Linked DNA regions of Oryctolagus cuniculus. The protein of the gene in region 5 purifies or fractionates together with the protein of the main gene of each other region. This does not show direct contact. Links are inferred from orthologs where the notes say so. Each region holds a gene or a part of one and is shown on either strand. Other genes may lie near its edges.

Region 1 (3,500 bases), on a different chromosome or scaffold from region 5:
CCTCCATCTTTTTGGAAAAAAAAAAAAAAAAAAAATATATATATATATATATATATATACATATTTATTTATTTATTTGAAAAGCAGAGTGACAAAGACAGTGGGAGAGACAGAGAGATTGTCCATCCACTGGATAAGTTCCCAAATGCCCAGAATAGCCAGGATTGCCAGCCTGAAGTCAGGAGTCGGGAACTCCATCCAGGTCTCCCACATGGGTGGCAGGAACCCAAGGCCTTGGGCCATTATCTGCAGCCTCCCAGGCGTGTTCCCAGGGAACTGGATCAAAAGCGTGGAGTGGCTATGACTCTGATGTGAGATGCTGGCATCTCAAGCTGCACCAACGATACCTGCCCTCATCTGTTTTTAACTGCTGAAGAAAACTGGTTCTCCCATCCTTTATAGTACTTACGAAGTAGGGCTTAATTTTATCTGCTAATATTAGCTTAATTTTACAAAATGTAATCCTTACTAACTTTTTTAAAAGCATGGAGTAATACAAAGAAGAAAACATTAAAAATCCATAAATTCCTTAACATAATAACCCCTGTTGGCTATCTTTTAAAAGTAAAATACACAGAAGTAATGTTTTTAAAATGTGGTTGAACCTTATTCATTTTTAAAGCATTTGTTCACTCAGTGACAATAGCTCCATCACTTTTCTGCATCTTTTTCCTTCCAAGATAACCAATCTGGATGACAGTAACTGGGCGGCTGCGTTCTCATCCCAGCGCTTAGGGCTGTACACAGGTGTAGACGCCCACAGTGTCACAGAGGACGTGAATCTCAGCGCGGTCATGCTACGTGAGGATGATCCTGGCGAGGCTGGTAAAGTGGCTTGGAGCCTTGCGATAAAGCGGTTCTTCTCCTGACTAATGTCACGATGTTTTCTTCTCCTGTTCCTGAATGTCATGGTTTTATTTTTTCCTTTAAAGGGAGGGATGGCTTTAAAAAACCAGAAATTTATTTTCTTGGAATTCTGGAGGCTAGAAATCCAATGTACAGATATCTGCAGGGTTGGTTTTTTCTAAGGCCTCTTCCTCTTTCCTTCCATGGGAGGACAATTCCTATCAGGAAAGTCTTTGCTGGGTCTTCCCTCTGTCTGTATATTTGTCATTGTGTGAATTGCTTTTGCTCTTGGCTGTCTCTGGAAGTGTGAGAACCTGAGAAGCCCTCCTGGGTTGTCAGCAGCGTCTTGCCATTGTATCTGTTAGCATAAACAGCAGCCTTTGGATCATTGCAGGTCTCCTATTTGTATTCTTATTTGTGCCACCAAAAGAACTTAGGCTTAGCTGTAATCTAACACTGCTGATGTGTTGAGCTTTAACCTGGACAGCAGTGCTGCTTTTTCAGAAAGTATTGTAACTTTGCTAGTTTTAGGTTTGTTACTAACGTTTCCTTTTGTACAAGACCATTTGCTTTTAGTGTCTGTGTACCTACATACCATGTTCTTGAGTTTATCATCATCATCAGCTACCTTATGGATGTTAATTGTGTGGTTATCACTCTCCGAATATGAACTCCTGGAATCCTTACCAAGATCCATTACATAGTTAGAATGATTGTTCTCATTTTAGAGGAAAGGAAACCACTGCTCAGATTGGCTAACTGGCTTGCAGAAAATCGCCCAGCTAGGAAGTAGTGGCACCAGGATTTGAAACTAAACAGTTTGATTCCAGAGCCTTGCCCTTAACACCATGGTAACCACCACTTTCTTGCAGTGTCTGCAGTAATACATACTTGAATCTTGGGTTCCCCAAAAATACTTCCTACTTATTCTGTAAAATACAAGAATTCAATTTTAGGATGAGAACTCAAATATTAGTAGAGCAAATGCATTTTCCCTTACCTGAACAGAGCATTGAGTAGCTACTGTAATTCTTAGCCATTTTGTTATGCTGTGCTTAAAATGTAATTCAGATGCTTTAAAATGTGGCCCAATTTTTAAAATTGTTGACAAAATAGGAAACATTAATGACTACTGTATCTTTGGGATCTTACAAAACTAATAGGTTACAAATGAAAAAATAGATAAGTTGGACTATGCCAAAATCTTAAATTTCTATGCCTCAAAGAATCTAATCAACAGAGTGAAAAGGCAGCCTGTGGAATAGTGGGAAATATTTGCAAATTAGCTGAAAGGGGGCTTAAATCCAAAAAATAAAAAAAAAACAACTCCTGTAACTGCTGTAACTCATAAAATGGGCAAAAATTTTGAATAGATGTTTCTCTAAAGATTTTCAAATAGCTAGTAAGCACGTGAAAAGGTGAAATCACTTATCTTTAGAGAAATGTAGATCAAAACTAATATGAGATGCCACCTTACACCATTAGGAGGTCTATAAAAAATGGAGAAAATGACAAATTTGAAAATGATGTGGAGAAATTGAAACCCTTGTATACTATTAGTGGGAATGTAAAATGGTGCAGCCACTTTGGAAAATAGTAAAGCAGTTACTCAAGAAACTGAACGAGGAATTACCTTATGATCCAATAGTTCTGCCTATGCATATATACCCAAAGGATGTGAAAGCAAGATTTCAAAGAGATATTTAAATATTCATGTTCATAGTAGCCAAAAAGTGGAAGCAGCTGAGTGTCCATCCATTGTGTGCTATTTACATAAAATGTAGTAGTAGTATTTAGCCAAAAAGGAAGGACATTCTGACACCTGCTAACATGGATAAACCTTGAGACATTGCTAAATGAAATAAGCAAGTCAAAATAGGACAGACTAGATCATATAGATCTCCCTTATATGAGATACTTTGATAGAGACAGAAAGTGGAATGGTGGTTGCGAGGGACTGGGGATAGTGAGGAATTGGCAGTTATTGCTGAATGGGTAGAGTTGTAGTTTTGCAAGGTAAGAATGAGTGTTGTGGAGTGAAGTTGGTGATAGTAGCACAACATTGTGGATGTGCTTAGTGTCACTGAACTGTGTACACTTAAAAATAGTTACAATGGTAAATTTTCTTTCTTTACAGTGGTAAATTCTTTTTAAAAACTATGTTTTTAATTTTTCAATCAAAATTACCTAAAAGTATGTCCTATAACTTTTCTTTTTTCCTTTTCTTTTTAATGTATTTTAGCATCCATGAGTATGTTTTCTGATTTCCTGCAGTCTTTTTTGAAGCACTCTTCAACTACAGTTTTTGACCTTGTGGAAGAGTACGAAAACATTTGTGTTAGTCAGGTGAGCTGATTTCACCCTGTCATCAAACTCTAGTACTTTTAGTTTGCTAAACAGCATTAACCTGCTAATATCTATTGTGTACTGAAAGGGGATGTCTAGGAATTTAGTGGCAAAAATAGCGGAGAGTGCAGCCAGACCAAATTTTTTAAAAAAGAATCTTATATTTATTTGAAAGGCAGAGTGAGAGAGACAGAGAGAGAGATTTTTCCACCCAAATGGCTGCAATGGCCAGGGCTGGGTTATATGGAAGTCAGGAGCCTGGAATTTCATATGGGTATCCCACGTGGGTGACAGGTGCCCACTGCTGT
Region 2 (3,500 bases), on a different chromosome or scaffold from region 5:
TGCGGGGTTAATGTATGTAATGAAGTAATATTCAGCCTTTAAAAATAAAAGTATCATTTTCAGGAACATGGATAAGCTTGGAGGATAGTATTAAGTGAAATAAGCAGGCACAGAAAGATAAATACTGTATAATCTCACTTATACGTGGAATCTAAAATAGCTGAGCATACCAAAGCTGAGAGTGAAATGGTGATCATCAGAGGCCGGAGGATAGGAGAAATGGAGAATTGGGTCAAGGGGTACAAAGATTCAATTAGGAGAAACCAGTTTCTTTGAGATATGTTGTATAGTGTGATGTCTATAGTTGATAATAATATGTTGTGTATTTCAAAATTGCTAAGAGAAAATTTCAGATATTCTCACCACAGAAAATGATAAGCATTTGAAGTGATGGATACATTAATTAGCTTGGTTTAATCATTCCACATTGTATGCACATATCATCACATCGCTTTTACTCACAAATGTATACAATTATAATTAATTTATAAGTTTTTAAAAGTTGGAGGTACTACTTACAGATATTTTAAAATGTGCATCCTTGGGGCCGGCACAGTGGTGCAGTGGGTTGTGCCATGGCCTGCAATGTGGGGATCTCATATGGGTGCCATTTCAAGTCCCAGCTGCTCCACTTCCAATCCAGCCCACTGCTAAGGCACCTGGGAAAAGCAGCAGTAATAGCCCAACTGCTTGGGCCCCTTCACCCACGTGGGAGACCCAGAAGAATCTCCTGGCTAATGGCTTCAGCCTAGCCCAGTCTTGGTCGTTTTGGGAGTGAACCAGTGGGTGGAAGATCTCTCTGTCTATAACTCTGCCTTTCAAATAAATAAGTAAATCCTTTAAAATGTACACATATGTATATATTCTTTCCTATTCTCTCATATAATTTAAATAAAAGATTCTGCTTGATTTACGATGATGTTAACATTACCTGTTATAACTCAATAAAAATATATAGCCTACAATACTTTGTCTATTACAATAAAATCACAAAAAATTTGCAAACATGTATATAGTGGTCATTGGCCTTTTATTGTAATGAGTATGTGCTTCTAATAAAAACACACAAATTAACTTGAAAGCTTGTTCTCAACATGATATTCAAATGAATTATAATGGTTATAAAACAGATGTTTTAGTTATGTCACTGTCCCCAATAATTAGTGTGTCTGGTAGATGTTTTGTAAGTATTGTGTAATTACTCTGAATATGTCACTGATCACCTCATAGGTTTGCTAATTAACAACTTGTTTTTCATTGGTAAAGCTAAAGGGAAAAAACTAGTTTGGAGTACACTCAGCCTTTATTTCTAGGTTGAATTGATACCCAAGATCTTACCATGGTTTTCATGTTTTGTTTATTGTAGGCTCATGCAACACTTCTAGGTTTGGCAAATATGGAAACTCGTTATTTTGCAAAGAAAAAAACTCTGCTTGGCTTGAGTAAATTGGCCGCACTAGCTTCAGATTTTTCAGAGGATATACTGCAAGAAAAAATTGAAGGTAAAAGAATTTGAGCAAAAAGACTTTGACTAATTGTTATCATTCATACTTCAATGAACTCTTAAGATGTCTTCCTATCATCGTTTAGTAGAATCCATTAGGAACAAGACTCATCCATCTCTACTTAAGAGGAAAACTTTTTTCAGTAAGAATTCCTAAATTCAAATGGCTTGACTAAACACTCTGATTATGTACTTTTGGTAGTATATATTATATGAGCAAAAAGAACTGCAAAGATACACTGACCTTTGTATAGTGGGTTTGTTGTAGGTAGTAGTATGATGCAGTAATTCTGAAATACTCTGTATACCCTGTAGATAGAAAAGATGATTACATATAGTATTATGTTTGAGAACCAAGGAGGAGGGAGATACAAATACTAGTGTAGAAGGAAGGTGAGGAAGAACCCTGTATAATTGCATTTGTATTGAACATAATGGATAGAATGATTTTTTTTTTATTTTTTAAAATTTTCATTTTATTTGAAAAGCAGAAATAGAGGGTCAGAGAGATTGAAGAGAGCTTGTGTTGCTGATTCCCTCCCCCCAGATGCCTGCCACAGCCAAGACTAGGCTAGGCTGAAACTAAAAGCCTGGAATTCAATTCAAGTCTCCCAAGTAGTTGGCAGTCATCTGCTACCTCCCAGGGTGCACATTAGTAGGAAGTTAGATTTAAGGCAGAGGAGCTAGGACTCAAAGCAGCCCTTAGATGTGGGATATGGGCATCCCAAGCAGCAACTTAACCATTGTGCCACATGCCTGCCCCTGGAATTTTTATAAAAAAGTGTATTTCTCTCCACTGAAAGGGCCTGAAAGCAGTGACACCGCAGTAGCATGGGTATTCCTAATTCCATATTTTAGTTTCAAACTACTATTGCCCAGTAAAGAAGGAGGCCATATTGAAAAGATGCCCTTACAGGTTTTGGGTGAGAAAGCAAGGTTAATGTAGAGATGTCACAAGAATACAAGATCCTTGAACAGCCAGCCATCACTAGCCAACTTCAGGGATAATTTGAACAACAAAAAGAATGGTTTGGGTTCCTTCCACTCATGAGGGAGACCCAGCCTGAATTCCAGGCTCCTGGCTTCTCCCTGACCCAGCCCTAGCTGTTGCTGGCATTTGGGGAGTGAACCAGTAGATGAAAGATCTCTTTCTTTTCTGCGTTTCAAATAGAGAAAGGGAGGAAAGCAGAGGGAGGGAGAGTTTTAAGATTTATTTGACAGAGTGCAATGGCTTAACCTACTGCCCCGTAACACCAGCCCCAAAGACAGATTCACATCTCATACTTCCTCAAGATATGACAGTATATATCATCACCTGTTGCTAAAATGTTCGACCTGGGACATTTGACAGTACAGTCAGCCTGGGCTGTTCAAAACTGTAGCAACATGAAAGACCAACTTAGATTAAAGAGGTTATAAGAGCCAGGATAACCAAATGCAGTGCAAGATTCTTAATTGGGTCCTAGATCATCCCCCAAATAACCAGGGTAACTACGATGAATATTAGGGGGATAACTGGGAAAATTTGAGCATGCTTAATAGGTGGGATTACTGTACTGATGAAATTTTATAGGCCTGGTAATTTATTGTGATTGGATGTTCTTGTTCTTAGGAAATACATATATTTATTTAAAAATTAAGTATTTAAAAATGAAATGTTACAAAGTCTGCAACCTTCAAATGATAGGCAAAAAAAACTCTGTATGTGGTGAAGTATATATGAAGTTGGATATTTGGTTGCATTTCTTTTTTAAAAAAAATTTTTTTTAATTTTTTAATATTTATTTCAAAGTCAGAGTTAGAGGCAGAGGGAGAGAGGTTTTCCATCAGCTGGTTCACTCCCCAGATAGCCACAACAGCTAGAGCTAGACTGATCCAGAGCCAGGAGCTCAGGAGAAAAGGTCTCCCACATGGGTGCAGGGACCCACCCAAGGACTTGGACCATTATCCACTGCTTTCCCAGGCCATAGCAGGGAACTGGATCAGAAATGGAGCA
Region 3 (3,500 bases), on a different chromosome or scaffold from region 5:
AAGAAATAAAGTTAAATGTATCACTGCTTTCTCTAAAGCCAAGAGGTACTTTGGCTGTTCTGTCATTTACCTGGATTGAATCCCTTTTCCATTTCCACGTCTGTTTCATAATCCATTTCCCGTATAAGAACGCCAATGGCCTGGATTGGATTCCGAATTTCTTGCAGTTTACTACAAATATCCTCTAGCACATTTTCTCTACAGAGGCAATCAGGAAACTTCTGTTACTACCAAGAATACTACCAAGAATACCCAATGTCCTGTAAACTAAATGCTCTGTGACACAGGAAAGCCAGCAACGTGATAAAGCAGGAGACACAACTGTTCAGGTATACGAGATACCACACAGCAAAATTTCTTTCAACTTTTCAGAACTGGCAAACAAGATGATTGTGAGGAAACTACTTTTTCTTTTTAGAATCAATAATTAATAGCTGTATCACAGCTTAGGAATCTGCATGTGTTAGAATTTCTGTTTGGGGCTGGTGTTGTGGCATACTGGATAAAGCCACAGCCCATGACATCTAGCTCGTGTCCCGGCTACATCCCACATGGGCACCAGTACAAGTCCCAGCTGCTCCACTGCTGATCCAGCTTCCTGCTAATGGCCTGGGAAAGCAGGAGAAGATGGTCCAAGGCCCCTGTCATCCACATGGGAGACCCAGATGAAGTTCCTGGCTCCTGGCTTTGGCCTGGCCATTATAGCCATCTGGGGAGTGAACCAGAAGATGGAAGATTCTCTCTGTAACTTTGACTTTCAAACAAACAAACAAATCTTAAAAAAAAAAAAAAAAAAAAAAAAAAACCCTTAAACAAATTTCTGGGGGCTGGCGTCGTGGCATAGTGGGTAAAGCCACCACCTGTAGTGCTTGTGTCCCATATGGGTGCTGGTTCGAGTCCTGGCTGCTCCTCTTCCAATCCAGCTCTATACATGGCCTGGGAACACAGTAGAAGATGGCCCAAGTTCTTGGGCCCCTGCACCCACGTGGGAGACCAAGAAGCTCCTGGCTCCTGGCTTCAGATGGGCCCAGCTCCAGTTGTTGAAGCCACCTGAGGAATGAACCAACAGATGGAGACCTCTCTCTCTCTCTGCCTCTCTGTAACTCTGCCTTTTAAATAAATCAATAATTCTTAAAAAAAAGACAAAGATTTATTTAAAAAAATTGTCCAAAAGCTGAAATATCTATTGAGAATCATGACAATTCATTTTATCTTCAAGCCATTAATTTGAACACTCTTTTGCATACAAAAATTCGATTTGGCACTAAAAATTGCTGAATTTCCATTAGGAAATGCACTTTACCCTAAGTTCTCCTTACACATCAACAGTGATCAAATCTTCCAGAATCTGTTCCGCAGCCTTCTCTGGAGACTGTAGGTTGTAGCAACTCATTTCCATCATAACTGACATGTCCATATTTACGGACTCTCCAATCAGCCGAAGACATTTTATAAGACATATGACATCTCGAGCAACATCCACATCTAGGAAGAGAAAAGTTAACATTCTAGTCTCAAATCAGTGATCTAATTAATATTATATTGTTAATTATTAAATGCCCAGACATCTATCTGATGTCTTTGAGATATGGAGGCCTCTATATCTTCCCTTGAAGTATCTACAATGTGGTAAAATGGCCAGTGGTAATCAATGTCCTTTGCATGTACTTGTAAAAGGTGAAAGATTTATACGATCTGAAGAGAAACCAGAGTATATTTTGCATGTACTTGTAATAAAGCACAGGTTCATGTAGGAAAGGGAATAAACATACAAATAACAATCATTACCATCAGATATGGTTGTCTCATCCTCTGTCAACAGGTTCTCATCAGGCAGTAGATACAAATGGTCCACTAGGGAAGAGGGCATAAGAAAAGACAGGTACCCCTGGAAATTGAAATATTCTGGTTACATTTTTTCAGTGAATTTTTAAAGGTATAAAATAATTGTGATGTGAGTTTTATCATGAGGCAACACCAGAGAAACTCCAGTTGATGGACACTGTAAAAAATACATGTGTAGTCATCAGAAAAATGTCAGTCATGAAAGACAAAGAAAGGCTGAAGATAGTTCAAGATTAAGTTAAATAAACAAGACAACTAGATATATCTAGGTCCTCGGATTGGATCTTGGATCACAAAGAAAATTATGGGCACAACTGGAAAAATTATTAACTGTGTAATAATGTATCAATATCAAATTGTTGATCTTTAAATTCTACTGTGGTTATTTAGGATAAACATCCATGCTTTTAGAGACTTGCTGAAGTTTTTAAGGACAAAAGGGCATGATGTCTGGGACCAGCACTGTGGCACAGTGGATTAAGCCATAGCCTATAGCACCAGCACAAGTTCATGTCCTGCTGCTCCATGTCTGATCAGCTTCCTGCTAATGCTTCTGGGAAAGTAGCAGAAGATGGCCCAAGTCCTTGGGCTGCTGTATCCATGCTGAAGACCTGCATTAAGCTTCTGGCTCCTGGCTTCAGCCTGGCCTAGCCCCAGTTGTTGCAGCCATTTGGGGAGTGAACAAGCAGATGAAAGCTCTCTGTCTCTCCTTCTCTCTCTGTATCCTTTCAAATAAATAAATATATCTTAAAAAAAAAAAAAAAGTGCATGATGCTACAAGCTGGGAAGAAAACTCTCAAATGGCCCAGAAAAAAAAACATATTTATACAAAGAAGAATCACAAATGGAAATTAAAAGATGGATCTGGATGAAGGCTTTCTAGGCCGGCACCGCGGCTCACTAGGCTAATCCTCCGCCCTGCGGCGCCGGCACACTGGGTTCTAGTCCCGGTCAGGGCGCCGGATTCTGTCCCAGTTGCCCCTCTTCCAGGCCAGCTCTCTGCTGTGGCCAGGGAGTGCAGTGGAGGATGGCCCAAGTGCTTAGGCCCTGCACTCCATGGGAGACCAGGAGAAGTACCTGGCTCCTGCCATCGGATCAGCGCGGTGCACTGGCCGTAGCGCGCCGGCCGCAGCAGCCATTGGAGGGTGAACCAACGGCAAAAGGAAGACCTTTCTCTCTGTCTCTCTCTCTCACTGTCCAACTCTGCCTGTCAAAAAAAAAAAAAAAATTTTTATGCTATTTTTAATTTTTATCATTTATTCAACAAATAAAATATAATGTTTTATTCTACTTTAATTTTAATTTTTTATTATCTATTAAATAAATAAATTTAAAAATCAAATGTAAAACAAAATAGATCAGGGTGGGCATTTGGTCATAAGTCAAGACACCACTAGTAAAGCCAGTGTTGTGGCACAGTGGGTTAAGATGCCACTTGAGGAATCTCAGTAGCTCTGCTTCTGATCCAATTTCCTGCTAACGAGCCTGGGAAGGCAACAGAAGACGAGCCAAATACTTGGGCCCAGGCCACCCATGTGGGAGACCAGGATGTATTTATTTCCTGGTTCCTAGCTTTGGCCTGGTTTGGACCTGGCTGTTGTGAATATTTGGGTGAATGAACCAGTAGATAGAAGATCAATACATCTTTCACTCTG
Region 4 (3,500 bases), on a different chromosome or scaffold from region 5:
ATTTTTGTAAGTAAGAAAACTGGTTTCAAGTAAGTGGTAGCTTGTACAAACTCAAAAAATCTACCAAATACCAGGACTGGCAGGGAAAGTACAGGGAGGTCTGTTACCAGTACTAAGCCCATACCAAAATCCCAAATGTGGGGGGCAGGCATTGCAGAGCAGTGTGTTAAGTCACTGCCTATGATACCAATGCTTTATTGGAGCATTGGTTCAAGTCCCAGGTACACTCCTTCTAGTCCAGCTCCCTGCCAATACATCTTGGAAAGCAGCAGCAGATGGCCCAAGTACTTGCAGCCCCTGCCATCCACATGGGAGACCTGGATGGGGTTCCTGGCTCATGGCTTTGGTCTGACTCAGCCTCGGCCCTTGATGTCATTTGGGGAGAGAACCAATGGACTGAAGATCTCTCTCTCTCTCGTTTCTCCCTTTCCCTCTGTCATTCTGCTTTTCATATAATTAATTATATTATATAATATATATTAATTATATAATTATAAATAATAAAAACTTTAAATAAAAATTCCAAATGTGTGAAGATTACACATGGTTAATTCTTATATATTTATGTTACTAAAAACACACACACACACATACACACACAACAAATCCATGATAGGATTTTGGATGTTTTTTAAAGAACTGTTAAATGTTTGAACAGAGATGTATTTCCCCTGAGTGGACATTACACAATCTATAAATGTATCAAAAAGTCAAATGGAACACCATGTCTGATAAAAGGAGACAGGACTGTGGCACAGCAGGTTATGTTGCTGCCTCTAATACCAGGATCCCATGGGTGCTGGTTTGAGTCCCACCTGCTCCACTTCTAATGCAGTTCCCTTTTAATGCATCTGGGAAAGCAACAGAAGATGGTTTAAGTACTTGGGAGATACACCCATGTGGGAGACCTGCACGAAATTCCAGACTCCTGGGTTTGGCCTGGCTCAGTTCCATTGTTGCAGACATTTGGGGGTCTCAAAGAGCAGATGGAAGCTTTCTATCTCTCTTTCAAATAAATAAGTAAATAAATCTTTTTAAAAAATTCAAAATAACTTTCTTAGTCCTTATAAGAGCTTAGTAAGATCAAAGATCAAAACTCAAATTCCTACCTTCTGTTACGAGTTAAAGAAAAAAATATTGAAAATTCTTATGATTGCACATGTACTTTTCTGAGGAAAAGTTCTTATTAGAATTGCCTAATCCGGGCCGGCGCCGCGGCTCACTAGGCTAATCCTCCGCCTAGCGGCGCCGGCACACCGGGTTCTAGTCCCGGTCGGGGCGCCGGATTCTGTCCCGGTTGCCCCTCTTCCAAGCCAGCCCTCTGCTGTGGCCAGGGAGTGCAGTGGAGGATGGCCCAGGTGCTTGGGCCCTGCACCCACATGGGAGACCAGGAAAAGCACCTGGCTCCTGGTTCCTGCCATCGGATCAGCGCGGTGCGCCGGCCGCAGCGCGCCGGCCGTGGCAGCCATTGGAGGGTGAACCAACGGCAAAGGAAGACCTTTCTCTCTGTCTCTCTCTCTCTCACTGTCCACTCTGCCTGTCAAAAATAAAAAAAAAAAAAAATAAAAAAATAAAAAAAAAAAAAAGAATTGCCTAATCCACAATTTTTTAAAAGGATTTATTAACTGAATTGTCTGAAAAGCAGAGTGACAAAGACTTAGAGAGACCCCAAGAAAGAGAGAGAAATGTCTTTAACCTGCTTATTCATTCCCCAGATGGCCACAACAGCCAGGTTTGTGCTAGGTCAAACTCAGGAGTCAGAAACTTCATCCCAGTCTCCCAGAAGGGTGGCAGCAGCCCAAGCAATTGGGCCATCATCCACTGCCTTCCCAGCTGCATTAGCAAGAAGATGGATTGAAAGTGGAGCAGTAGCCGTGCCGCCGTTGCTCTCTAACGCCAGCGCGGCCTCTCGCTCGCCGAGCTCCAGCTGAAGGAGAAGTGTGGTAAGTAGGGAGGTCTTTATACCATGGCTCATACAGGGCAGACTGCCGCAAATTGACTGGTGGTAAAGCACCCAGGAAGCAACTGGCTACAAAAGCCGCTCGCAAGAGTGCGCCCTCTACTGGAGGGGTAAAAAAAAAAAAAGTGGAGCAGCATGGGGCCAGAGCTGTGGCATGGCAGGTAAAGCCGCTGCCCCCACTGCCAACATCCCATATGGGTGCCGGTTTGAGTTTTGGGAGCCAGGAATTCAATCCCAGGTAGCAGAGATACAACTATATAAGCCATCACCTGCTGCCTCCCAGGGAACTTGAATGGATTCCAATCCAGAAATTTCATTATAGTATGCAAGTATCCCAAATGACATCTTAACTGCTGCTCCAATGACCACAACTTAATATTCACTTAACTGTTCAAGTGTTCTGTTTATAGTAATACCCTACCTCCAATTCCACCAAGTTACTAGTCCACTAGGCAAAAAGCTTAGGGAAAATTGGAATCTTGAATCTTGATGAATTCTATGAATTATCAAAAGGCAAAGATTTCCTCATAAGGCACTGAGATAGCATTAGGACTACACAGAGAGTCCAATGTAGGACAACTTGTTAAATCCTCAAAGTAACTTGTGATAAAAATTTGGAAATTGGAACTTATTTAATTCATACTCATAAGCAAACAAAAGCATGACCCTAAGCAAAGCACAAATACTATACTCTCCATACAATTTCTGCATCTTCACCAACAGAAGTAATTATAGTTCTTAAAAAACTGGACACTCCTAATATAAGAGTGTGAGCTCTCTTAACATTCTTATGTCAGAGGTATGGCTGTTAGGGAGATACATTCTGGAAATCTACTCAGCACAGGAGATATATGAAACGTGGAACTTGATGACTCTACAGCTTTCTTGTAAAACAGCGTATTTATACAATACCTAGTGAACGAGATTTTGATGGGTGGGATGCTGAAATGGGGAGTCTGGGAGAACAGATTTCTTGAGAAGCATCTGCTTTGGAAGGAACATGACTGAAGCGCTGATCCAGCATCATGTCTATATCTTCTTCATCAGCAAGCAGTGATGCTTTCATGATCTAAAAAGGCAATATGTATATACACAGACACACAATGAATGTGCTCTCTGAAACTGAAAGGCTACTAAAAGATACAGTTTACAACAACCAAAAAAAATTACTTCTTAAGATAGTGTCCAGAAATACTGTAATATTTGTGTTACTGATTTCATTACAATGTGTCTCACCAGAACCTGGCATATAGCAACTGCTGAGGTCTTAATAAATAATTTTAAAATCAAACATAAGCACAAGCCAAAAGCTAAACTCATGCCTTTTGGCATGGGCAAGGTGAAGTAGAGACAGGGTTTACAGAAACTTTAAAATTTTGTGGAACACTTTACAAAGCCTCAAAAACAACCTTCAAAGTAGAAAAAGTTATGTTTTACAGAAGTCAGTGCTCACAGACGTTAAATGACTGTCACACAGTAATAAATTCACAAAACTGGGATTAGAATCCAGATCACCTGATACTAATACCCTTAAAAAACC
Region 5 (4,145 bases):
AGACTTCAATTGCAAGTTGTCTTTCAACCACTGGATTAGGGCGGAAGCACAAAAATTTTCAGTAAGCTAAAGAAAAACTTTTAGAAGATAACCATGATGGGGCCATCGCGGTTGGTTAATCCTCCGCGGCGTTGGCATCCCATATGGGCACCGGTTCTAGTCCCGGCTGCTCCTCTTCCGATCTAACTCTCTACTGTGGCCTGGGAAAGCAGAGATGGCTCAAGTCCTTGGGCCCCTGCACCCACATGGGAGACCAGAAAGAAGCTCCTGGCTCCTGGCTTCGGAATGCCGCAGCTCCGGTTATTGCGACCAACGGAAGGAAGACCTTTCTCTGTCTCTCCCTCTCACCATCTGTAACTCTACCTCTCAAATAGATAAATAAAATCTTAAAAAAAAAAAAAAGGAGGTAACCATGACAATATAAACTCAGTTTTTAGGGGAAAGTGAACACACAACTAATTTGTTTTAGTTTGAGCTAATATAATTTGGCATATGAGGGGACCAACTGTGGAACTCAAAAGAGTTATCATTCTGGTATCCACTTTACCAGATAAAATATAACTAAAGTTAAAAAAAAACAACAACTGTGAATAGAAACATCAAGTAGGAAGAGGGTATACTATATATAAATTTAAAATTAAAATATTTTAAGAAGATGCACACATAGACATATGAATATGACACTGAAAAGTCAGTCATGAGCCTAAACCCAAGGTCTGAATTGTGTTATTTACACCGCACACAGAACTGCTTGCCCTTCAAGCCTAAGAGCTTAGGGTCTTGTTAAGCACCTGGGATTTCCTTTTTCTTTGGTCTTATTCTATCTCTCGACTCCCATTTTCTTTCATCTCTTGTGAAACACACTAGTGAAACAATCTACCAGCAAACGCATTCCCAGCATCATACAAGGTCTCTGAGTAGATGAGAAAGCCTGAGGATCCTCCGGTACCAGCTTACTGCAGTGGAACCCTGCTTCCCTAGGAGGGCGGTGAGGGGTTCTCTCCACCCTCCCCGAGGGACCCTAGTCGTCCCTAAGAGGCGGTCAGGAACGCAGAGCCTCCTTCCACAAACACACAGCCCTCTTCCTAACCAGCCGCCCTTCTGGTGGTCTCTCAGCCTCTGCTCTGTCCTGACTCCCCAACCATGAACACCTGCCTTCCTGTGCCCTACTGCTCACCCAGGCCCACAGATAAACAGTAACCACCACGACTGAGTTCTGGAGGTTGGTAACAGGGAGACGCTACAAATGAGCTGCAGATGGTTTTTGTTTTCACTAATGGGCAACGCAACCCAGTACCTAATTGACACAAGGTGAACAAGTGCTGTTCGGGAGAAGGCAAAGCAAGATGGCAGCATACTAGACGTGAGGATGAAAAGGAGAGATTGAAATGTTATCAGACTCCTAACTTCATTTATCATTATTTTTCACTTAAAAAAAAAAGTTCACTAACGGTGAGCACAGGCTTGGAGTGACCTGCTTTAATCCTCAGAGCTTTAGTTTTCTGCTCTGTATAAGAGCCAACAGCATCTGTACCATCAGTTCACAGGGTCACCGGGAGGCGTAAATACGCCGATACATGCAAACAGCACAGTGCCTGGCACCCAGGAAGACTGAAATAAAGTTAGTTTCAAAGAACCTGCAGGATGTAGCAGCCTTGCCTTCCGCTGGAAACATACATCTCTGTTTTGGGTTTCATTGTAAACGGATACCTGCAAGTTTTCTCAATTCACTCAACATTTCTACTTAGAGACTGAAGAGGCCACCTTGCAATACTTAAATACTTGCCTACTAAAAAATCAAAGCAACCAGAAGCAGAAGTTTTAGCTAAAATACAAGTTTCCTTAAAGAGATTCGGGAATCATTTTATCAATAAAATTAGTCTTGAAGCTTTAAAAAATAATCCGCATTCAGCTGCCCTCATCCTCAGCTACCCGCAGAATCAAGTCACCGTTTGTTCTTTTTACTGACACTTCAGTACTCTGCTTTCATTGCAAGCCTGTAACCCGGCACAGCTTCTTCGGTATCGAAACCTGGCTGGGAGGCAGCCACACACTGTGTCCAGGGCCAGAAAGGATCCCTGTGGTCACGCTAGGACAACTGTCACTGTCACCAGCACGTCCGGGCGCCTCTCAAGGACTCGGATCGTGCAGGAGCGTGGGGGCAGGCTGGTGTCTGAAACAAAGTCGACAGCGAGGGCGCGCTGAAACGGGAGAGGTTTGGCCGAGAGCCGCGGACGAGGGTCTGACCGGCAGGGAGGCAGTCTCCCGGGGCGGATCGATTCCGGGGGCGCGCCGCCGCCCGTAGGAGGGGGACGCAGGTGTCGCCCTCCCCGGGCGCGCCGCCGCCCCCCCTCCCCCAGCCCCCCAGGTACCTTTCTCGTCCTCGTCGATGCGCAGGGCAACGGAGATGTACTCGAAGGCCTGTTTGTGGAAGGCGCGGACGCGCTCGGCCTCGCCGCCCGGCACCGGCTCCGGGGGCGAGGCCGAGGCGGGCGCCGGCGCGGCCCGGGAGCTCCTCTTGGCGGCCATGAGGGCGCGGGAGAGGCGCTGGCAGAGCCACACGAAGAGGAGCCCCAGGTGGAAAGCGACCAAGCGCAGCAGCGCGAAGCCGACGAAGAGCGGGTAGGAGAAATAGTACAGGTTCCGCTTATGCGGCGACTCGGGCGGAGCGGCCGGCCCGGCGGCGGGAGGGGCGGGGGCCAGGCAGGGGGGCGGAGGCCTGGGAGGCGCCGGGCTGCTGGCGCCGCCGGAGCCTTTCTTCTTCCCTCGTCCACCCGGAGAATTCATTCACAGCTCCCACTGCCGCCGCCGCCGCCATAACCCGCCTTCCGCAGACCGACGGCGACCCAGCGACGGCGGCGACTGCTTCGACGGCGAGGGCCACAGACCCCCCGCACGCCGGCGGGTCCCAGGAGCTCGGCACCTGCACGCGCCGCCCGCGGCCCCGCCCCTCGCTCGGCCAAGAGCACAACCCTTTCTCCTCCTCCTCCTCCTCCTTCGGTCGGTGGCTCCAACCCCCCCTTCTCTCCGTCCTCTCAGCGCCAAGGAAGCTCCGAGCGCCGGCCGCGCACGCACACGCGCACGCCCTTCCGTGCCTTTCTCCGCCGCGCGCGCACGCGCGCACGCCGCCGTCTTTGTTGACCTGGTCTCTTGTGCGCGTGTGCGGCGCCTGCCACTCGGCCCTTTCCTCGTGGAACTACACTTCCCAAGGTGCACTTCGACTCCCATGTAGCTCCGCGGACGGCGCTTGCCCTGGGAGCTCCTACCAGCAAGCTGGGGAATTACTCCTTGAATAGGGAGACGGCGGCTTGGGGCTGCTAGTAAGTTTGCAGCGCTTCTATCTCTCGGTGTCATGGTTTCATCATTTTCTGCCAGTTGACTTCAGTCTATTACAAAGGTTGATTGGTCTGAATTCAGGAGCAGTGAGTATACGGACTGGAGTTAGGGGAGCAGGCAGTGAAGAGACAAACATCAAGTCATCCCAAGTGAAAAATGTTACCTCTCTACGGTGAGGTCAACGAATCTAGGATTTTCACTAAATTAGCACGAATTTAGATGTCTCGTCTGAAGAAATAACTTACTCGAATACGGAATTTTTAGATTTCTGCGTAGCACCCTGTAGTTTGCTGAGGAAGCCGTGCTGTGGTTTTCCTGGCATTTTTGTTTTAAGTCTACTTGGCTTCCCTTCCTTTCGGCAACTACCCACTCATCTCTGCTCCCAGGGTTCTCCTGAGTTGCAAACACAGAACTCAGGATCAGTCGGTCAATGAGACTCCCCTGGGAACTGGGATCTTGGCTGGAGAAGGGCTGAGAGCGAAGGTGGCTGCCACCGAGTGCTCCACGGAGCTCCCTGGCTAGAGCATCCCACTGTGGTCCCAGAGCAGAGTTCCTGCACTGGCCGGATGACGTAACCTATCTAATACACTTCGGTCTATTTCTCTTCCCCCGTTTCCCCCGCTTTCTCTTTCTCCCCTCCCTATCCCCCTGTCTCTGTTTTTTTTCTCTTCTGACTTGAGTTAACCATAATTGTTCCTCGTTGCCTAAAACAGAAGCATCCTAAGTGATACAAAGTCCCCATTATTTATAGTGTGAGGTCTACGGAATCTCAGCATCCTGCCACAACTTTAATGATTACGCAGCAAGAC
Region 6 (4,223 bases), on a different chromosome or scaffold from region 5:
GCGTAGCAGGTAAAGCCACCACCTACAATGCCGGCATCTCATATGGGCAATGGTTCAAGTCCTGGCTGCTTCACTTCCCATTTAGCTCCCTGCTAATGGCCTGGGAAAGCAGTAGAGGATGGCCCAAGTGCTTGAGCCCCTGCACCCAAGCAGGAGACCTGGAAGAAACTCCTGACTTCTGGCTTTGGTCTGGCCCACCCCTGGCTGATGCAGCCACTGAGAAATGAACCAGTGGAAGGAAGACCTTTCTGTTTCTGTCTTTCCCCTCCTTTCTCTGTAATTCTCTTTCAAAAACAAACAAACAAACAAACAAACAACTCACAAAAACATGGTTCTAGAATTACATTCGCAAAAAGTAATGATATTTTCCCCCCCTTCATATCGTAAGGCTTTAAAACTATTAAATACGGTTTTCCTTACACCTTTCTAAAAATAACTAAAATACAAATTCACTTTTCAAACCAAAGTTCTTTACCTGGTTATTTGGATGGTGAAGGAAAATTGTTACACATCCTGTTGATGAAGCAGCTACAATTCTTTCCTGGTCAAAAAACTAAACAGAAAAATTCCTGCTTATTATAGATTCAGAAAAACTAGTAGGGAGGAAACCCGTTGTTTAACTGAATTTATAGCAAATTACGTAACTGTAAAAGGTAAAAAGCCTGTAAGTGCTACCCAAATAACATTTGTTAGATCTAAAAGTTAACATTGCTATACAAATAAAGGTATTTTCATGAGGAATAAATGGTTGGCCAAGTTAAATTCTCTAAGCCTTGGAATGTGGTGGGCATTTGGCTTGCTATGATGTTGGGTTGAGATGCCCAAGTTCAGAATGCCTGTGTTCAACACCCAGTTCTGGCTCCTTATTTCAGCTTCCTGTTAACGCAGGTCCTGCAAAGCAATGGTAATGACTCAAGTAATTGGGTCCATGCTACCCACATGGGAGACCTGGACTGAGTTCCTGGCTCTTGGCTCCTGATTGACGCAGGCTTTGGTGAATGAGCCAGTTGATGGGAGCTCTAACAAATACATTAAAAAAGAAATTTCCCTGAGGCCACTGCTGTGGTACAATAGGCTAAGCTTCCGCCTGCAGGGCCAACATCTCACACGCACCCTGGTTTCCATCCTGGCTGCTCCTCTTCTGACCCGGCCCTCTGCTATGGTCTGAGAAAGCAGTAGAGGATGGCCCAAGTCCTTGGACCCCTGCACCCGCATGGGAGACTGGGAAGAAGCTCCTGGCTTCAGATCAGCCCAGTTATGGCCATTGCAGCCATTTGGGGAGTGAACCAGCAGATCGAGAACTTTCTCTCTGTCTCTAACTCTACCTCTCAAATAAGTAAATTTTTAAAAATCTGTATTTTTAAACAGGGAGTACTAATCCTACTCAGGGTGGGTTATGAGAAATCAAAAAATTTAAAAGACCTACCCTGCACAGTATTTGTCACAAATGAGGATAATTCAAGAAGTTTATGGAAAATGAAATTAAAAGATAATGCATTCTAGTGCAAAATTTTTAAAAGCCCATGCATAGTTTATCTATAATATGCATTTTCCATGAACTTTGAGATCCTTAGCAGTGTGTGCTCGAAAGATAATATTCTTAGCATTCTCACGGGCAAAATAGAAATAACAATACTGACTCACAGACATGTAATTAGAATTAAACGGTCTTATGTAAAACTCCAAAAATATCACTTGCAGGCCGGCACCGCAGCTCAATAGGCTAATCCTCCGCCTGCGGCGCCGGCACACCGGGTTCTAGTCCCGGCTGGGGCGCCGGATTCTGTCCCGGTTGCTCCTCTTGCAGTCCAGCTCTCTGCTGTGGCCCGGAAAGGCAGTGGAGGATGGCCCAAGTGCTTGGGCCCTGCACCCGCATGGGAGACCAGGAGGAGGCACCTGGCTCCTGGCTTCGGATCGGTGCAGCGCCGTCCGAGGTGGCCATTTGAGGGGTGAACCAACGGAAGGAAGACCTGTCTCTCTCACTAACTTTGCCTGTCAAAAAAAAAATAATAATAATAAAATAAAAAAATCGCTTGCAGCTGGGAGGTTGTGCCACTAAGTGATCAGTCTACGTTGGGTAAATCCTAACCTATGGAGAACTCGCTTTCCTGTAAACTAGGGGTGAGGCCAGGAGAGCTCTCAGGTCTCTGCACTCTAAATGCACTGCTCTGGCTTTCTTTAGAAGCGAGCCTCTGGGCACTGGACGCGTTTACCTGTAAGTCCATGACGTCACCATGGTGTTTGATATCGCACAACAGTCGATGGTCTCCTTCCAGGCTTCCATCAGAGTCCGGGTTTCCGAAATCTCCGATAGACCACAGTGAAACGTGATTCTCCTGTAAAGCAAACGGCTTCATCTTGAGATGACAGAACCGTCAACTCTGGAAAGTAAACCCAATGCGTATCGCCTTAAGGCAACCTGGGCTCCAAAGCATCTCACACGGCATGGGCAGAATGTGAAACAAGAAGACGGGGGCTCGGGCACACCCACGCTGGCTGCAGCCGAGCCCCCGGACCCGGGGCCGGGGAGGATGGAAAGTCGCGCGCTCCAGGGCACCTGGGCGTGGGAGAGGACGGAGCCCCGGGGTCCCGCCCCGGAGCCAGGGTACCTCATTGTCCCAAGAGCCCGTGGCAAAGGTCTCGGCGGTCTGCAGGCTCCCCGGAGGCACCGGCCGCCAGCGGGTTTTGCTGATTTTCTCAGACACAAACTTGGCATACAGCTCCTCCATGCTGAAAGCAACAGCAGCAGGCACAGCCAGCCGCGCGCCGCGCGCCTCCGGGTTCCGCCCCTTCCCGCGGAGCTCTGATTGGATGGGAGCTCGCCGGGCGACGGCGGCCGCGAAGGGCCAATTCCCAGCGGAAGGCGGTGCAGGCACTGCCGGGCCCGGACCAGGAGGGGTCTGAGGCGCCCATGATCAGCGAGGTGGCTTTGAGCAAAACCAAGAGTGCCCCGGCCTATGTGCAGTGGGATCTGCACCCGACATGCAAATGCAGAGGAGGAACATGGAGACAACGTGCTTGTGCAATAACTTAAGAACAAAATCACTGCGTGGGAAACCACCTTGCAGGCACATCAGCTGCTTGTCACTATGCATAGCAAACAACTCAAAATCCTTCAATCTTCATGGCACTATTTCCAATAAAGTACGAATTTATTATCCTAAACCTTTGACTCCAGTTTTAGTTCTGCTGCCAGTTACCTAAGGTTACCTAACTGTAACCTTGGTCAACTCACTTACATACGTAATTTTTTAAGAAAAGATTTATTTCAAAGGCAGAGTTGCAGAGAGAGGGAGAGACACACACACAGAGGGAGCTCTTCCATCCGCTGGCTCACTCCCCAAATGGTGGCTTAGGCCAGGGCTGGGTCAGGTCAAAGCTGGGAACAGCCAGGACGCAAATCGGCGGCTAAAACCACTGTGCCACAACACCGGCTCCACTTCCATTACATAATTAAGAACGGATTTTGTGATACCTAACGTCCACAGCCTGGGGCATGAGTGCTGCGGGTTCCTTTAGTGCCTTTGGTTATGGCTAAAATACCTTTCCACTCCTCCTCTCAGAATCCTGTCCACCCTTCACCCTTTCCCTGACGGCCTCAGCGGAGGATGAGGAGGAGAATAAAACAGAACGTTTCGTATCTGCATCACTAAGAGCACGCATTTTGCCCCGTTTCTGGTTTCCTTTTCCAAAGCTCCTTAGCGTGGAAATCCTACTGATTCCAAGAGGTATGATTTATTCCACCTTGGCAACTCTCTTACACCGCTGTATTCATAACTATATGTTGTCTCTTTAAAGGGGGCCGTGCCGGGCTGCCGGTTTACGAGGTCGGGGGTCCCACTTCACCGGGACAGTTTGTGCAAGGAGTGGACGAAACGTAACCGCCGCGGCCGGCTTCGGTGAGAGTTACCAGGGTCTGCTCTGCAGCCGAAGATCGCCAGCCGTCTGCGGAGAGACGGAACGGGCGCCCGGGAAGCGGATGAGCCCCAAGTCGACAATTTCATTCCTATCATATATCCACGGAAAGAACAATTGCGTGTGGGCTCGTTTACGACCACAGAACCCCGACAAGAGGACATGCGTATTTTTGAACAGTGTCACATTCGACAGAACCTGGTAAGCGCGAGAACTTGAAAACTGCTGCTGATCTAAGAGCTTAGACGCGGTGACACAGCTTTGTTTCTTTCCTAAACGTTTACCGAATGACCTAAACGACGGCTGCA
Region 7 (3,500 bases), on a different chromosome or scaffold from region 5:
GGAACTCCCTCATGTTAGAACCGAAACTGCAACGGACCGTGACAGACAAGACTCTGGGCCTGCTCCGTGCAGGGCCCCTCCTCAGCCCGGCTTCCCTTCTGGTCACTCCGCCCGCCCACCCCGAGGGCCTGAAGCCACTCACTAGAGGTTGTGTGACTGCAGCAGTCGGCAGTGGTCCAGCAGGTCTGTCAGGTGGGCCACGAACCACCAGTTGCTCAGGGCGATGCTGCAGATTGAGACCAGGCAGGAGGCAAAGTCAGGAGAGGCCACGTCCCACAGGAGCGAGGCGTGGGCAGGAACCCCACGTCCCTGCCTCGGAACACAGGTGGGCTATCCCCCCCACCTGTCAGCACGGCCACTACCGCAGTCACGAGAGCAGGTGCTGCTGAGGGTGTGGAGCCGGGAGCCTGTGTGCTGCGGGCAGTGCACGCTGGTGAGGCCTCACGGCAAACAGTCAGACCCGCACAGGCCCAGCTACCCCCAGACTACCACATGTCCCCCCGCAGTCCTCCTTGGCATGTGTGTAAAGGGGAAAAATCCTTCACAGTGGACACGGCTGTGCTGGCAGGGATGAGGTGTACGTGTGTGGGTACACAGTGGACACTTAGCCACGTGTGACAGCCTGCATGGACCAGAAGGACGTTACACTAAGTGAAATGAGCCAGACACTGAAGATCGCTGCGATCACATTTAGGCGCAGACTCTACACACACACTGAGTGGGCCGGGGGCTGCCGGGGGCTGGCGGGTGGCAGGGAGGAGATGCTGGCCAAGGCCCACAGCTCGTAACGCACCGTACACGCGAAACCCACCCGGAATGTTCTCATACATACATACAAGAGGCATACACGCATACAAGAGGCAACTGAGGTGCTCACTATGCTGTCAGCTTGATGGTGGCACCGCGTCACAGCACACACAGTCCCCTCTGAAGTGTGAGGGGCAGGCCACGCCGCCACCTGCGACGCGCACCCCACACTGGAGTGCTAGTGCTAGTGCCGGCTTGCTGCTTCCCAGCCAGCTTCCACCAACACGTTCTGACAGGCAGCCCTGGCGGCTCAGGTGCCTGGGCCCTGTCCCCCGCATGGGTGACCCGAGTTTTTGGTTCCTCGCTTTGGCCTGACCCAGTCTAGGCCGTTGCGGCCATTTGGGGAGGGACCCAGCAGAAGGAAGACTCCCACCAAGCACTAAGGGTGGGGGCTCAAGTGATCGAGGCTGGGCACGGCTGAGTGGTGCCAGGGTCTCTGTGCAGACTCCAGCAACTCTGGATCCAGCAGTTAGATTCGGGATCTGCACGTACACGCCCTGCGATTCTGAGAGCAGCTTCAGTGTCAGAACGAGGAAGCTTTAGCGCCGGTGCTGCGGGACAGCGGTCAGTGGCCACCCGTGACGCCCGCCGCAGCACGTGGGCACCAGCTCCTGTCCTGGCTGCTCCGCTTCCCATCCGGCTCCAAGCCAAAGTCTGGGAAAGCAGAGGATGGCCCTCCACCACGGGGGAGAACGGTTAAAGCTCCTGGCTTCGGCCTGCCCGGCCCAGGTCGTCGTGGCCATCTTGGGAGCGAATCACAGAGAATTTCAGCAAACACGTAACCCTCTCCAAAGCTGCCCTCCTGCTCACGCCGCCTGGAGACGGGCACCGCGCAGAAAGGCGCCGGCAGAGAAAGCTGCGCGTGGCCGATGACCTGGCGAGGCGTCGAGCTCCCGAGCTCCGCCAGACTGTAAGCAGTGCTGGGCAGTGGTAAGCGCTTCCCTGCAGCCACCAGCTCTTGTTTTGGCAAAAAGGAAACCAGGGCTTCAGGAAAATAGTGGTAAACTTGGGGAAAGCCAGAGCAGTTTTCTGTCAATATTTTCATAGGCCCACATGGCTGATGGCAGGAATGGGAGCATGTGTGTGCAGCAAACGAGAATAACAAAGACACACGTTGACATTCCACTTTATGGGCATCCCCGCCCTAATTCTAAGTAAAACCTCCCAGACCTCTCGTCCGCTGCAGCAGTGAGCAAGTTCCACCAGCTCCTCTAGGCCTATCTGGGGTTTCAGACACAACAGATGTGGGCAGAGCAAGCCTCCGGGCACAGGACCTGGGGAAGGGGAAAGCCCCGCGCTGTCCTGGGCCGGCAAAGCGCCCGTGAGGAGCAGAGGCCCCCGAACCCCACGGGACATCGCATCGGGCATCACCCCCGGGGAAGAGTTGCGCTCGCAGCCCTCGGCCCAGGCGTCCGAGACGCTGGCTGCCGGGCTCGGAGTCTGCCTCTTCCTGAGCAGGTGCTGCCTCCCAGCCTGCTCTGAGACAGGAACCGCGCCACAGCGCTGGCCCCACGGCACGTGTTTTTGCCTTCGTATGTGTGGACAGTCCAGGAAGGTCCTACCTCTGTTGCGTGTCTGACATTCCCTTTCCGACACACTCAAGTGTCAGTGCAATGACGGGACAGGGAGCGGGCTGGAAACCCTGCAGATTCCAGCACAAGACCAGCAGCCTGGCCGCCCTGCACTCACCAGTGACACTGCGGTACGACCCAAAGGCGGCTGTCCACTGGGTACCAAGGAATAGGCTCGCTGGCCTTTTCTGGATTTTAAACATCAAAACATTTCATGCGGTGTTAGTTTTAATAAGGGTTCCTGAGGAGATGGTTATAAACACAATGGCCTTCGTGCCTCAGCAAAGCCCCCACGCTCCTCCAGAGGGCAGGTGCTGTCCCCTTGCATCCGCTGAGGCGGGCAGCAGGTGCTACGGTTTGAATGGTTCCCTCCAGGTCAGGCGGGCCCACATGATGGTGCTCAGAGGTGGAGCCCTGAGCGGGGTCGGGTGATGAGGGCGCCCTTGAAGGGCGTGAGGCTCCCTGACAAAGGGGCTCGCGGGAGGAAGCTCGGCCCCTCGCCCCTTCCCCTTCTACGTCAGGACATGGAACGCAAGGCGTTATCTTGGAAGCCCTCACAAACACCCAACCTGGACACAAACACGAATCTTGGACTTCCTGGCTACCGGACTGTGAGAAAATGCATTTCTGTTCTTTATAAAGCACCCAGTTGGGGCCGGCCACTGCCTGCAGCACGGGCATCCCCTATGGGTGCCAGTTTGAGTCCCGGCTGCTCCCCTTCTGATCCAGCTCCTGCTACGGTCTCAGAAAGCACTGAGGATGGCGCAAGTGCTTGGACCTCTGCACCCGTGTGGGGAACCGGGAAGCTCCTGGCTTCGGCCTGGCCCAGCCCAGCCCTTACAACCACTGGGGAGGAGGAAACCAGAGACGGAAGCGCTCTAACTGCTTTCCGAGTAAATCAATCAACTTTTTTTTTCAAACAGCAGCAGCAGCAGCAGCTGAAGTGGCGCCGGGCGGGGCTCACCTGCACTCCTTGATCACCTGGTGGATGTCAAACTCAAAGGCGGCCATCAGGATGTTGTCCAGAGGTTCCGGGCTGCTCTCCCCTCCCAGAAACAGGTCCAGGCTGGACTGTGAAAGGCAGTGAGGTGCTCTCAGCTCTGCGGAGCCGCCCGCTGGCCA

The links.
Region 1: the proteins of SPAST (region 5) and NUP107 purify together in Homo sapiens (affinity purification with mass spectrometry; 3 studies listed by BioGRID and IntAct, counting the BioPlex papers as one, with this or other methods). This does not show direct contact. The link is inferred for Oryctolagus cuniculus from reciprocal best matches to the Homo sapiens genes SPAST and NUP107.
Region 2: the proteins of SPAST (region 5) and NUP133 purify together in Homo sapiens (affinity purification with mass spectrometry; 3 studies listed by BioGRID and IntAct, counting the BioPlex papers as one, with this or other methods). This does not show direct contact. The link is inferred for Oryctolagus cuniculus from reciprocal best matches to the Homo sapiens genes SPAST and NUP133.
Region 3: the proteins of SPAST (region 5) and NUP160 purify together in Homo sapiens (affinity purification with mass spectrometry; 3 studies listed by BioGRID and IntAct, with this or other methods). This does not show direct contact. The link is inferred for Oryctolagus cuniculus from reciprocal best matches to the Homo sapiens genes SPAST and NUP160.
Region 4: the proteins of SPAST (region 5) and NUP98 purify together in Homo sapiens (affinity purification with mass spectrometry; 3 studies listed by BioGRID and IntAct, counting the BioPlex papers as one, with this or other methods). This does not show direct contact. The link is inferred for Oryctolagus cuniculus from reciprocal best matches to the Homo sapiens genes SPAST and NUP98.
Region 6: the proteins of SPAST (region 5) and NUP43 purify together in Homo sapiens (affinity purification with mass spectrometry; 3 studies listed by BioGRID and IntAct, counting the BioPlex papers as one, with this or other methods). This does not show direct contact. The link is inferred for Oryctolagus cuniculus from reciprocal best matches to the Homo sapiens genes SPAST and NUP43.
Region 7: the proteins of SPAST (region 5) and NUP85 purify together in Homo sapiens (affinity purification with mass spectrometry; 3 studies listed by BioGRID and IntAct, counting the BioPlex papers as one, with this or other methods). This does not show direct contact. The link is inferred for Oryctolagus cuniculus from reciprocal best matches to the Homo sapiens genes SPAST and NUP85.

The regions. Positions count from the first base shown.
Region 1 is NC_091442.1:71,074,031-71,077,530, forward strand, and holds part of NUP107 (nuclear pore complex protein Nup107), read left to right. Parts: intron 1-680; coding exon 681-825; intron 826-3,088; coding exon 3,089-3,192; intron 3,193-3,500. UniProt on the Homo sapiens protein: Plays a role in the nuclear pore complex (NPC) assembly and/or maintenance. Required for the assembly of peripheral proteins into the NPC. May anchor NUP62 to the NPC. Involved in nephrogenesis.
Region 2 is NC_091444.1:90,206,253-90,209,752, reverse strand, and holds part of NUP133 (nuclear pore complex protein Nup133), read left to right. Parts: intron 1-1,366; coding exon 1,367-1,502; intron 1,503-3,500. UniProt on the Homo sapiens protein: Involved in poly(A)+ RNA transport. Involved in nephrogenesis.
Region 3 is NC_091432.1:18,194,928-18,198,427, reverse strand, and holds part of NUP160 (nuclear pore complex protein Nup160), read right to left. Parts: intron 1,889-3,500; coding exon 1,789-1,888; intron 1,486-1,788; coding exon 1,320-1,485; intron 199-1,319; coding exon 71-198; intron 1-70. UniProt on the Homo sapiens protein: Functions as a component of the nuclear pore complex (NPC). Involved in poly(A)+ RNA transport.
Region 4 is NC_091432.1:63,190,066-63,193,565, reverse strand, and holds part of NUP98 (nuclear pore complex protein Nup98-Nup96), read right to left. Parts: intron 3,030-3,500; coding exon 2,873-3,029; intron 1-2,872. UniProt on the Homo sapiens protein: Plays a role in the nuclear pore complex (NPC) assembly and/or maintenance. NUP98 and NUP96 are involved in the bidirectional transport across the NPC. May anchor NUP153 and TPR to the NPC.
Region 5 is NC_091433.1:170,783,380-170,787,524, forward strand, and holds the start of SPAST (spastin), read right to left. Parts: upstream 2,801-4,145; 5' UTR 2,788-2,800; coding exon 2,373-2,787; intron 1-2,372. UniProt on the Homo sapiens protein: ATP-dependent microtubule severing protein that specifically recognizes and cuts microtubules that are polyglutamylated.
Region 6 is NC_091436.1:18,268,087-18,272,309, reverse strand, and holds the start of NUP43 (nucleoporin Nup43), read right to left. Parts: upstream 2,801-4,223; 5' UTR 2,730-2,800; coding exon 2,610-2,729; intron 2,337-2,609; coding exon 2,214-2,336; intron 554-2,213; coding exon 476-553; intron 1-475. UniProt on the Homo sapiens protein: Component of the Nup107-160 subcomplex of the nuclear pore complex (NPC). The Nup107-160 subcomplex is required for the assembly of a functional NPC.
Region 7 is NC_091448.1:5,303,175-5,306,674, forward strand, and holds part of NUP85 (nuclear pore complex protein Nup85), read right to left. Parts: intron 3,450-3,500; coding exon 3,343-3,449; intron 227-3,342; coding exon 143-226; intron 27-142; coding exon 1-26. UniProt on the Homo sapiens protein: Essential component of the nuclear pore complex (NPC) that seems to be required for NPC assembly and maintenance. As part of the NPC Nup107-160 subcomplex plays a role in RNA export and in tethering NUP96/Nup98 and NUP153 to the nucleus.